Caenorhabditis elegans: one gene and its partner. The protein of the gene in region 2 interacts with the protein of the main gene of each other region in a biochemical or structural test. Each region holds a gene or a part of one and is shown on either strand. Other genes may lie near its edges. The genes, in order: pmk-1 and atf-7.

Region 1 (3,932 bases), on a different chromosome or scaffold from region 2:
AGAATTTCAAAAGTATTCGAATTAAATAATAACCGCTTAAATTGATACGTTTTTGACAGTCGGAAATGAATTTTGATCACAAAATGAACCCACTGGGGGTGTCCTTCGTTTGATTTTATGCATAATTAGTTGGTTCAAAAACAAGTGTAAATATATATTACCTGGAAATCACTGATCTCTTCCCAAATAATTTTCTTCCATTCATCAATTGTATCTGCCCTTACATCATCATTCAAATCCATTTCTTCTGCAATTGGCTCATCAGTTTCATCGTGATAAGCAGCCAGATATTCATGCTCCATAGCTTCTTTTGCAGTTGGACGACGATCTGGATCAAGGTGAAGCATCTTTTCAAGGAGATCGATTGCTTGAGGAGTTGCTTGAGCAAACAGACGTTTGAAATCACGGCGAGTCATTTTTGGAAGATTTCGAATGTAATTACGAGCTTCTTCTGATGAGATCTTTTTAAGGAATTCTTCATCTGGTGTTCCAGTTACTGACATGATACGAGTCAATTGATCGATGTCTGAAACAGTAGTTTTAAATGAAAAGTCTACATTTTCAAAAGAAAATAACGTTTGTGTTTTGTTTTTTGTTGTTTTGTTTGTTTTTATTGAATTATCTTAGTCCATATTTTGGTAGTTAACACCGCGACTACAAATGCGCCTAAATCCTCAAATCAACTGGAGATAAACTACCAAAATTTGCAATAAGAGGTAATAATTAATTATAAATTTTTTCCGCCTGCTACGGTACGAATAACTTAGCAAAATGATTTTTTTTCTATGTTATGAAACGCCAGTGTACAATAAAGTTAACAACCATAAATATTTACTCTGGTTTTTTGCTTGGAAATTGAAGATATTTGGAATATTGTAGAAAAAAAGTCTTACGATCAGATCCAGGGAACAATGTTTTTCCAGTGATAAGTTCTGCAAGAATACACCCAACTGACCATACATCAACAGTCTGCGTGTAATGCATCCAATTGAGCATAATCTCTGGAGCTCTGTACCATCTTGTTGCCACGTATCCAGTCATTTCAGAATCAGTTTGACGTGCCAATCCAAAATCAAGAATTTTCAATTCACAATCCTCATTAACAGCAATATTTGATGGTTTAAGATCTCGATGAATAATATCTGCAGAATGAATGTATTTGAGTCCACGAAGAATTTGATAGACTAAGAATTGAATGTGGTCATCGTTGAGTCGCTGAATTTTGAGAATATTTGATAGATCAGCTCCCATCAACATTGATACAAAATACACATCCTCGATATCATTTACATTCTCATTTGGAGTGAAGACATCAAGTAGATCAATTATATTTTCATGACACATACAACGAAGAAGTCGGAGTTCACGATATGTACGACGGGCATGAATTATTGATTGAAATGGACGATTGAATTTTTTGATTGCGACGCGAGTCCCCGAGCGAGTACATTCAGCAGCACTAAAAATCGAAAAATAAAGTAAAAATCAGTTGAAATGACATACCAAACAGTTCCATATGCTCCGGTACCAATTGGAGTCAAGTTAATATAATAATTTGGAACAACCCAGACACTTCGATTAAGCTCAACGACATAGTATCCTTCTCGTGGAGTCGGATGAAGTATATGATCCATTGTTGTCTGTGGAAACATTGGCTCCGTTACCTGGAATCATGTTTGTAAGATTTGAAGTAATTATTTTGAAAAAAATATGATTTTTTTGTGTACGTAAAACCAATATAAATGTAAATATAAAAATTAAGCGGCAATTTGAACCGATTAAATGTTTAAGAGTATTTAGAAAATTGAATATTTACATTAATTCTTTATACACTTCAATTTGATAAATGAATCTAAATGAATAATAAATTAAAAGAGGCTCTGAGGTCATGGCAACTTATAGGATTAACGAGAAAGTTAAGGTAAATCACAAGTCTATGGTTTCAAAGGAAAAAATTGAGATTTTGTGGAAAAGAACATCTGAGATCGATTGTTGGATAATTAGAGATCAAGGAATTAGGGACACAAATTTGATTTTTAGTGAAATAAATAGTTTAGGGAGATACAATATAGAAAAAAGAAAATTCCACAGTTTTGAGATATTTTAGCACTTGAACACATTTGACTTCATATTTTCATTGGCTCTTCTTCCGTATCCGTACAGCTTACAAAACTTAGTCTTCGTGCCGAGTTTTGGAATAATCGAATCTCATTCCAAATTAACTCTCGCCAGTCGGATAACGTTGTTGCTCGTTCTTCAGCTGGATCAATTGTGACCTAACAAGAAAATTGGAGTACTTTTAGAGAAGCGAACTTAAATTTCGTACTATGCTATTTATTACCGTATCCATTGCAACTGGTTCATCATTTGGCACAGAGTATTCACGAAGATAGTCATGACGAAGAGCACTTGATACAGAAATTCTTCTGTCCGGATCCAAAATTAGCATCATTTCGAGAAGTTCGAGAGCATATGGAGAAGCCATTGGAAACAATGTAACGAAGTCCTGACGGATAATTGGAGAACGATTTCTGAAAGATTTTTGCGTAAACGATTTATTTTTTTTTTCAGTTCTAGTCTAGTAATTGAATTTCAGAAGTATTTGCAACACTAACTTAATATAATTTCGAGCTTCTTCTGATTGAATTTTGGACCAGAATTCTTCTTTTGGGGTACCCACAACTGACATTATCTTTGTTAGCTGATCAATATCTGCAAATTTTAAATATTTAAAGTATTAGAGGAATAGAATAAAACTCACGATCATCGCCTGGAAACAATGGTCTCCCGGATACCAGTTCCGCAAGAATACATCCAACTGACCAAACATCAACTGAAAAATTCAATATTTTGGTAACATTTTTAGAAGTAAAAAAAAATGATGTTTTTGTTTCATGTGATAAATATATCAAGTTTTTCGTTTATTTGAAAAAATAGGAAGTTGGAATAGAGAGAGAATTGCAGAAACCAGAAATACCAATATCAAGTCAAAGTTTATTCTTCATATTTTCACACGTTTTAGCATAACTACAAGAAACAGGTGAAACATGCTTTCAAAATGTCAGAAGTTAACCTCAAATCATATGATATTTAACAATTTAGTTCAAAGATTTTAGGTGACTATTTAAGTGCATAGAAACCAATTTCTTTTATTTACTCACCAGTCTGTGTATAATGCATCCAATTGAGCATAATCTCTGGAGCTCTGTACCATCTTGTTGCCACGTATCCAGTCATTTCGGCGTCTTGAGCACGAGCCAATCCAAAATCGAGAATCTTGAAAAATGAAAGAATTAGGAAAGAAAGTTGAGAAAAACTAAGAAAAACCTTGACTTCGCATCTCTCATTGACAGCAATATTCGATGGTTTTAAATCGCGATGGATAATCCCTGCCGAATGGATATACTGCAAGAATAGGAAAATATTTGAATGTAAAAGAGTATTAGGAGAAAAAGATCAAAGAATTTTTGGAAGAAATATTTGAAACAAAGCTGTTGTAAGATTTAACCAGCCTAAAACGTGTGTTTCTTCTTTGAAAAGGATGCATTAATTTTTTCAGAATAATAGTTGAATTGAAATTTTGGTGACTCATGTACTGAAGCGTTATTTGCAACTGTTCACATCAAACTGTTTAGATTAAAAAGTATTTTAATGTTCAACAAGTTAAAATCTGTTCTTATAAGAAGTTTTCCCATTCTCTGAAACAGAAAATAAATTTAAAAGCTCATATTTTAAATATATTACCACAAAACGCAAAATTCAATGTTTTTTTTAATTTTCAGATTGAAAAAAGTTTAAAAAGCTTTCAAAAGATTTTTTTTCAACAAAAAAAGAAAAAAAAAAGAAGTGTGTACTATGTAAACAATAGTCTGCCAGCATACCACTTTTATCATGAAAAATGAAACAAAACCGTAGTAGAATTGAATGTGAGG
Region 2 (3,932 bases):
AACACCGCCGCACGCAAAATTGCAAATAATAATAAAAAATGCAACAAAAAACCCGCAAAAAATTATTGTTTTTTTTTTGAAATTCTCAGAAAAGAAAACAAACCTGCTCATCACTCATTGGAACTCCTTTCAGACAAACGCATCGTGACTCTCTTTCAGTAAGCAACGCAGTTACCCTTTCGAGTTCCCGTCGCAGCACTTGATTTTGTGTCTGAATAGCCTAATTAAACGTAGACATCAATACAAGATCTCATTTCTCACCAGTAATTGATTCTTTTCAGCCTCCATTGCTTGAACTCTTCCCATCATATCATCATGTTCTTCCTTCTTCCTCTTACGATATCTCACAGCCGCAGCCTTATTTCTCTCGAGAATTGTATTCCTCCTCTCGTCGGGTTGCATGTCGGCTGTTGTGCTTCTTCCTCGACCACGTCCACGGCCAGGTGTACCGTTTTGTGGACGTCCAACTGGATTTCCAGTACTCGTTGAAGCAGTTGATCCAGCATTTGACATATCTGCAGACTGATCTTGATCAGATCCCGAAGATGACATACTGAAATTAAAAACATTATTCTAAAATTCTAAATTCTCGAAAATTCAAAAACTCACTTGCTCCTTTCCATCAACATCATTGCATCATCATTAAAATATGGAATTTCCTTTTTGATCTGCTTTTCTCCGTTTATATGATCCCAACTTCCATCAGCTGGTGATTTTTGTGTGGATGGAGGTTGTGATGATGCTCCAAGTGGTGAGTGATAGGAGCTCACAGTTTTTGGAGGAACAAGCAGTGTTGTTCCAGGAAAAGGTGCTCCACTTGTAGATGGAATAGCCATCGCATTCGTAAGAACAGATGCTGAATTGGGTGCGGAAGAAGATGGAGAACGAAGGAGTGCCGAGAAATCAGGCTTATTATTCAAATAGTTGATTGTATGAAGTCTATCAGAGTGCATGTCGAGTACCGCGTTTAAAACGTCGGCAGTTCGTGGAGCTTGAGCCGAGAAGTCACCGGCCTGAAAACGTTACTGATAAGAACAGAAACTCTAATTTTTAATCACAAATTTGTCATAATTCTTTCTAAATCACACACCGTAATGACATGATTCTCGATTTTTCGATCAAAAACTCACCACAGATAACAATTTGGAAATGTCCGCGGTTTTCAGATTTTCTCGAGTCGTTCCCTCCGAATCTCCAGCATTTAGAAGCATATTTGAAAATATTCCAGGCGAATGTTGAAGTGATGCTTGTGGTATTTTCAATAAAAGATCCGACATTGTTCCGGCATTACTTCCCGAAAATTGTGAACCTCCATTGGCTTCCAAAGCTTCAAGAGATTGATTTGCACCTGATGTATTTGGTTGCATACTTCCAGAACTGATCTTTTGATTCGCTTCTCGGAACTTTGCTTCGAATGGATTTACTGCTAGACATCGTTGCATTAGTTCAGCGGTTGTTGGTAGATCAAGTGGAGTGAACATTAATTTTGGGTTTGGAGTATCGAGACTGAATGGAGACGTTGTGTCGCCCATCAATTGGACGCGCTGAAAAATAAAAAATTAGAAAATCGGTGTATATGAATTTTAGAAATTTTCGATTTTCTTTTTTAGACTTGATACAATTTTTGCCACATTTTACCTTTCCCACCATCATATTGAAATATTCATTAAGAATCTGAGAAGTTTTCGTCATATCTTTCCCATTTGTCATCGACGTTGGCATAACCATCGGACTTATGAGTGCGGCTGCGGCTGAAGCAACCGCAGATGCCACGTCAAGTTCTCCAGATTCTGGAGGCGACGCTGATGACGTCATCATCGTCGTCGCCATAGACGGTGGTGCTGCTAGAGGAGCAGCAGCAATACAGCTCATCAAATGATTGAATGTTTGGGGCAGCAGAAGCTAGAAACAAGACAAAATGTTCGAATGAATCAGAGAATTCAGAGGGTGAAGAAGTGAAACGGCGAAGAAGAAGAAAAAAAAAGCGAGAAAAGACGGAAATGTTGTGTGCTTTGTTTGACATGATAACCCGGAGGGGTGTGTGTATGTGACATCAATTGACCAATGTCTTTTATCAATTTTCCATCATCGAAACTCTCCACCAAATTGTGAATATTTCGTGAGGAGACCTCAAACAGTCAGGTGACGTCAACAGATCGACAAAATGTTGCAGTTAACAGAAAACCCCAACGAATCGAAATTGGGGGGAAAAACCGCAGAGATCAAAAAATTTGTTGGCGCGAGAAAAAAAGCGGTGGGGATAACTAAAGGAGAGAGAGAGATGGGCGGTACGGAACACTTTTCAATTGTTTCGCACGTCACATGACGATTCTAGTGGTGATGATAGTGACGACGACAAGACGATAATGATGATGATAAAAATGATAGTTACTGTAGGAGGACACTACTAATCAGACAAAGTTTTGATTTTTTCTTTTGTACGTAAATGTTTTCGAGAAACTTTTGTTTTTTCTTCAATTTCACGAAAAAAAACTGTGTCGATTTACGCTGTTCGTGTACTCCTCGAGGAGAAGTGTGAATTGAATTTTTGAAGAAGGTCTTGGCCAAAATTTTTGATTGTTTAAAACAATTTTTGCGATATATTTTTGTATTTGATACCGAAAATCGTGTGAGATCCAGTATTTTAGCCCACACACTTCTCCTCGGGGAGTACACTGGCTGCGTAAATCCACACATGTCCGTGTTAGAGGTTCTCATGGCCATTTATATCGAATTCTCCAGTGCAAAATAGTTATCCAGAGAATTTTTAGAGGTGATGATGGAAAAATAGTTGAGAAACGATTCTGATCAAGGACGAATTGCGAATTTGATGAAACACAAAAAACATGGGGCACACGGAAGAGAAGAAGAAGATCGAAGAACAAATGATAGCGGTGTGGGGGTAAACGCGTACCGAATAAAAGAAACGTTCAGTGAATCAGCCGCATTGAAACATGACGAGAATCGAAATTGATCCTAATCTTGAAGACACACACTAATAGTTTTTGGATCACAGTTTTATTCTCGTCTTTTTCGATTTTCAAAGTTCGGTGTCAAAAAATACGTTACAGAAATATGTATGATATTAAGAACGGTTGGATGGATTAGAAAGAATCAAAAGTTCATGGAGAAGTTGACCATACAATCAAACTTCTCAATATAGAACTTAAAAACTTCCGGCCACGTTCTAACCGAAACTAACCGGGAATTTGTAGAGCTAGAATCAAACACCGTGTAATTGAATTCACTTTTGAATAGGTTTTTAACGAAGAAGAGTGATCACATTGAACCTAATTCGTCGGAAGTCGTTTTATCAATGATAAACGGATTAGTGTGAGCACACGCTTCATTGGAAAAAGAGTCACATGAGAAAAAATAAAGAGGGAGCGGATTTATTAAAAGTTTTTTGCCTGAAATTCATTTGCTGACTAATTGGAAAATTATTCGAGAAGGAGAAAGAAGGAAAATGAAACTGAATTTAAATAGTTGAGGGAAGTCCGAAATCGGTGCAACATGGACGCAATTAAAAATCGTCGCAAAACAGAAAAAGCGCGACAAAAATGACGACGTTGTGAATCTTTGCTGCCAATTTTCGTATCTTTGATATGATAACGGCGGTCGACAAAAATCAGAGAGGCGCTTCTCTTTCGTGACACGATCTTCTATTTTGCCTTTTCTGTCTCTTACGTCATCATCGAAAACTATCAGACTGTCAGATTGAAAAGTGAGAAAAGAGAGGAGAATTGGGTGGTGTCTCCGTGTTGTCCAAAAATGATGTCATCATGTTTTTGTTTGTTTCTATTAAAAAAGAGGATGGAAAATATATAATGTTTTGCACACTGATAGTAGTTATCAAGTGATTAAAATTGTTCAATGCCTAACTTGAAATGAAAACGAGGGTATTGTACTTTTATTTAGACAGAATGTCTCTG

The links.
Region 1: of the proteins of atf-7 (region 2) and pmk-1, one has a biochemical effect on the other in vitro, tested with the Caenorhabditis elegans proteins (one study listed by BioGRID).

The regions. Positions count from the first base shown.
Region 1 is NC_003282.8:8,146,526-8,150,457, reverse strand, and holds the start of pmk-1 (Mitogen-activated protein kinase pmk-1), read right to left. Parts: upstream 1,665-3,932; 5' UTR 1,653-1,664; coding exon 1,504-1,652; intron 1,460-1,503; coding exon 894-1,459; intron 527-893; coding exon 162-526; intron 1-161. Other genes in the region: Mitogen-activated protein kinase pmk-2, read right to left, coding at 2,127-2,276, 2,327-2,531, 2,616-2,712, 2,762-2,833, 3,162-3,276, 3,328-3,405. UniProt on the Caenorhabditis elegans protein: Serine/threonine kinase which responds to activation by environmental stress and pro-inflammatory cytokines by phosphorylating downstream targets. As part of a MAP kinase signaling pathway, plays a role in modulation of lifespan and immunity.
Region 2 is NC_003281.10:4,492,549-4,496,480, forward strand, and holds the start of atf-7 (Transcription factor atf-7), read right to left. Parts: upstream 1,903-3,932; 5' UTR 1,831-1,902; coding exon 1,639-1,830; intron 1,545-1,638; coding exon 1,131-1,544; intron 1,014-1,130; coding exon 610-1,013; intron 554-609; coding exon 262-553; coding exon of another isoform or gene 238-261; exon of another isoform or gene 221-237; coding exon 104-220; intron 1-103. UniProt on the Caenorhabditis elegans protein: Transcription factor which regulates the transcription of various genes, including those involved in innate immunity and oxidative stress responses. Binds to promoter regions of genes, probably at 5'-[GACGTCA]-3' consensus sequences.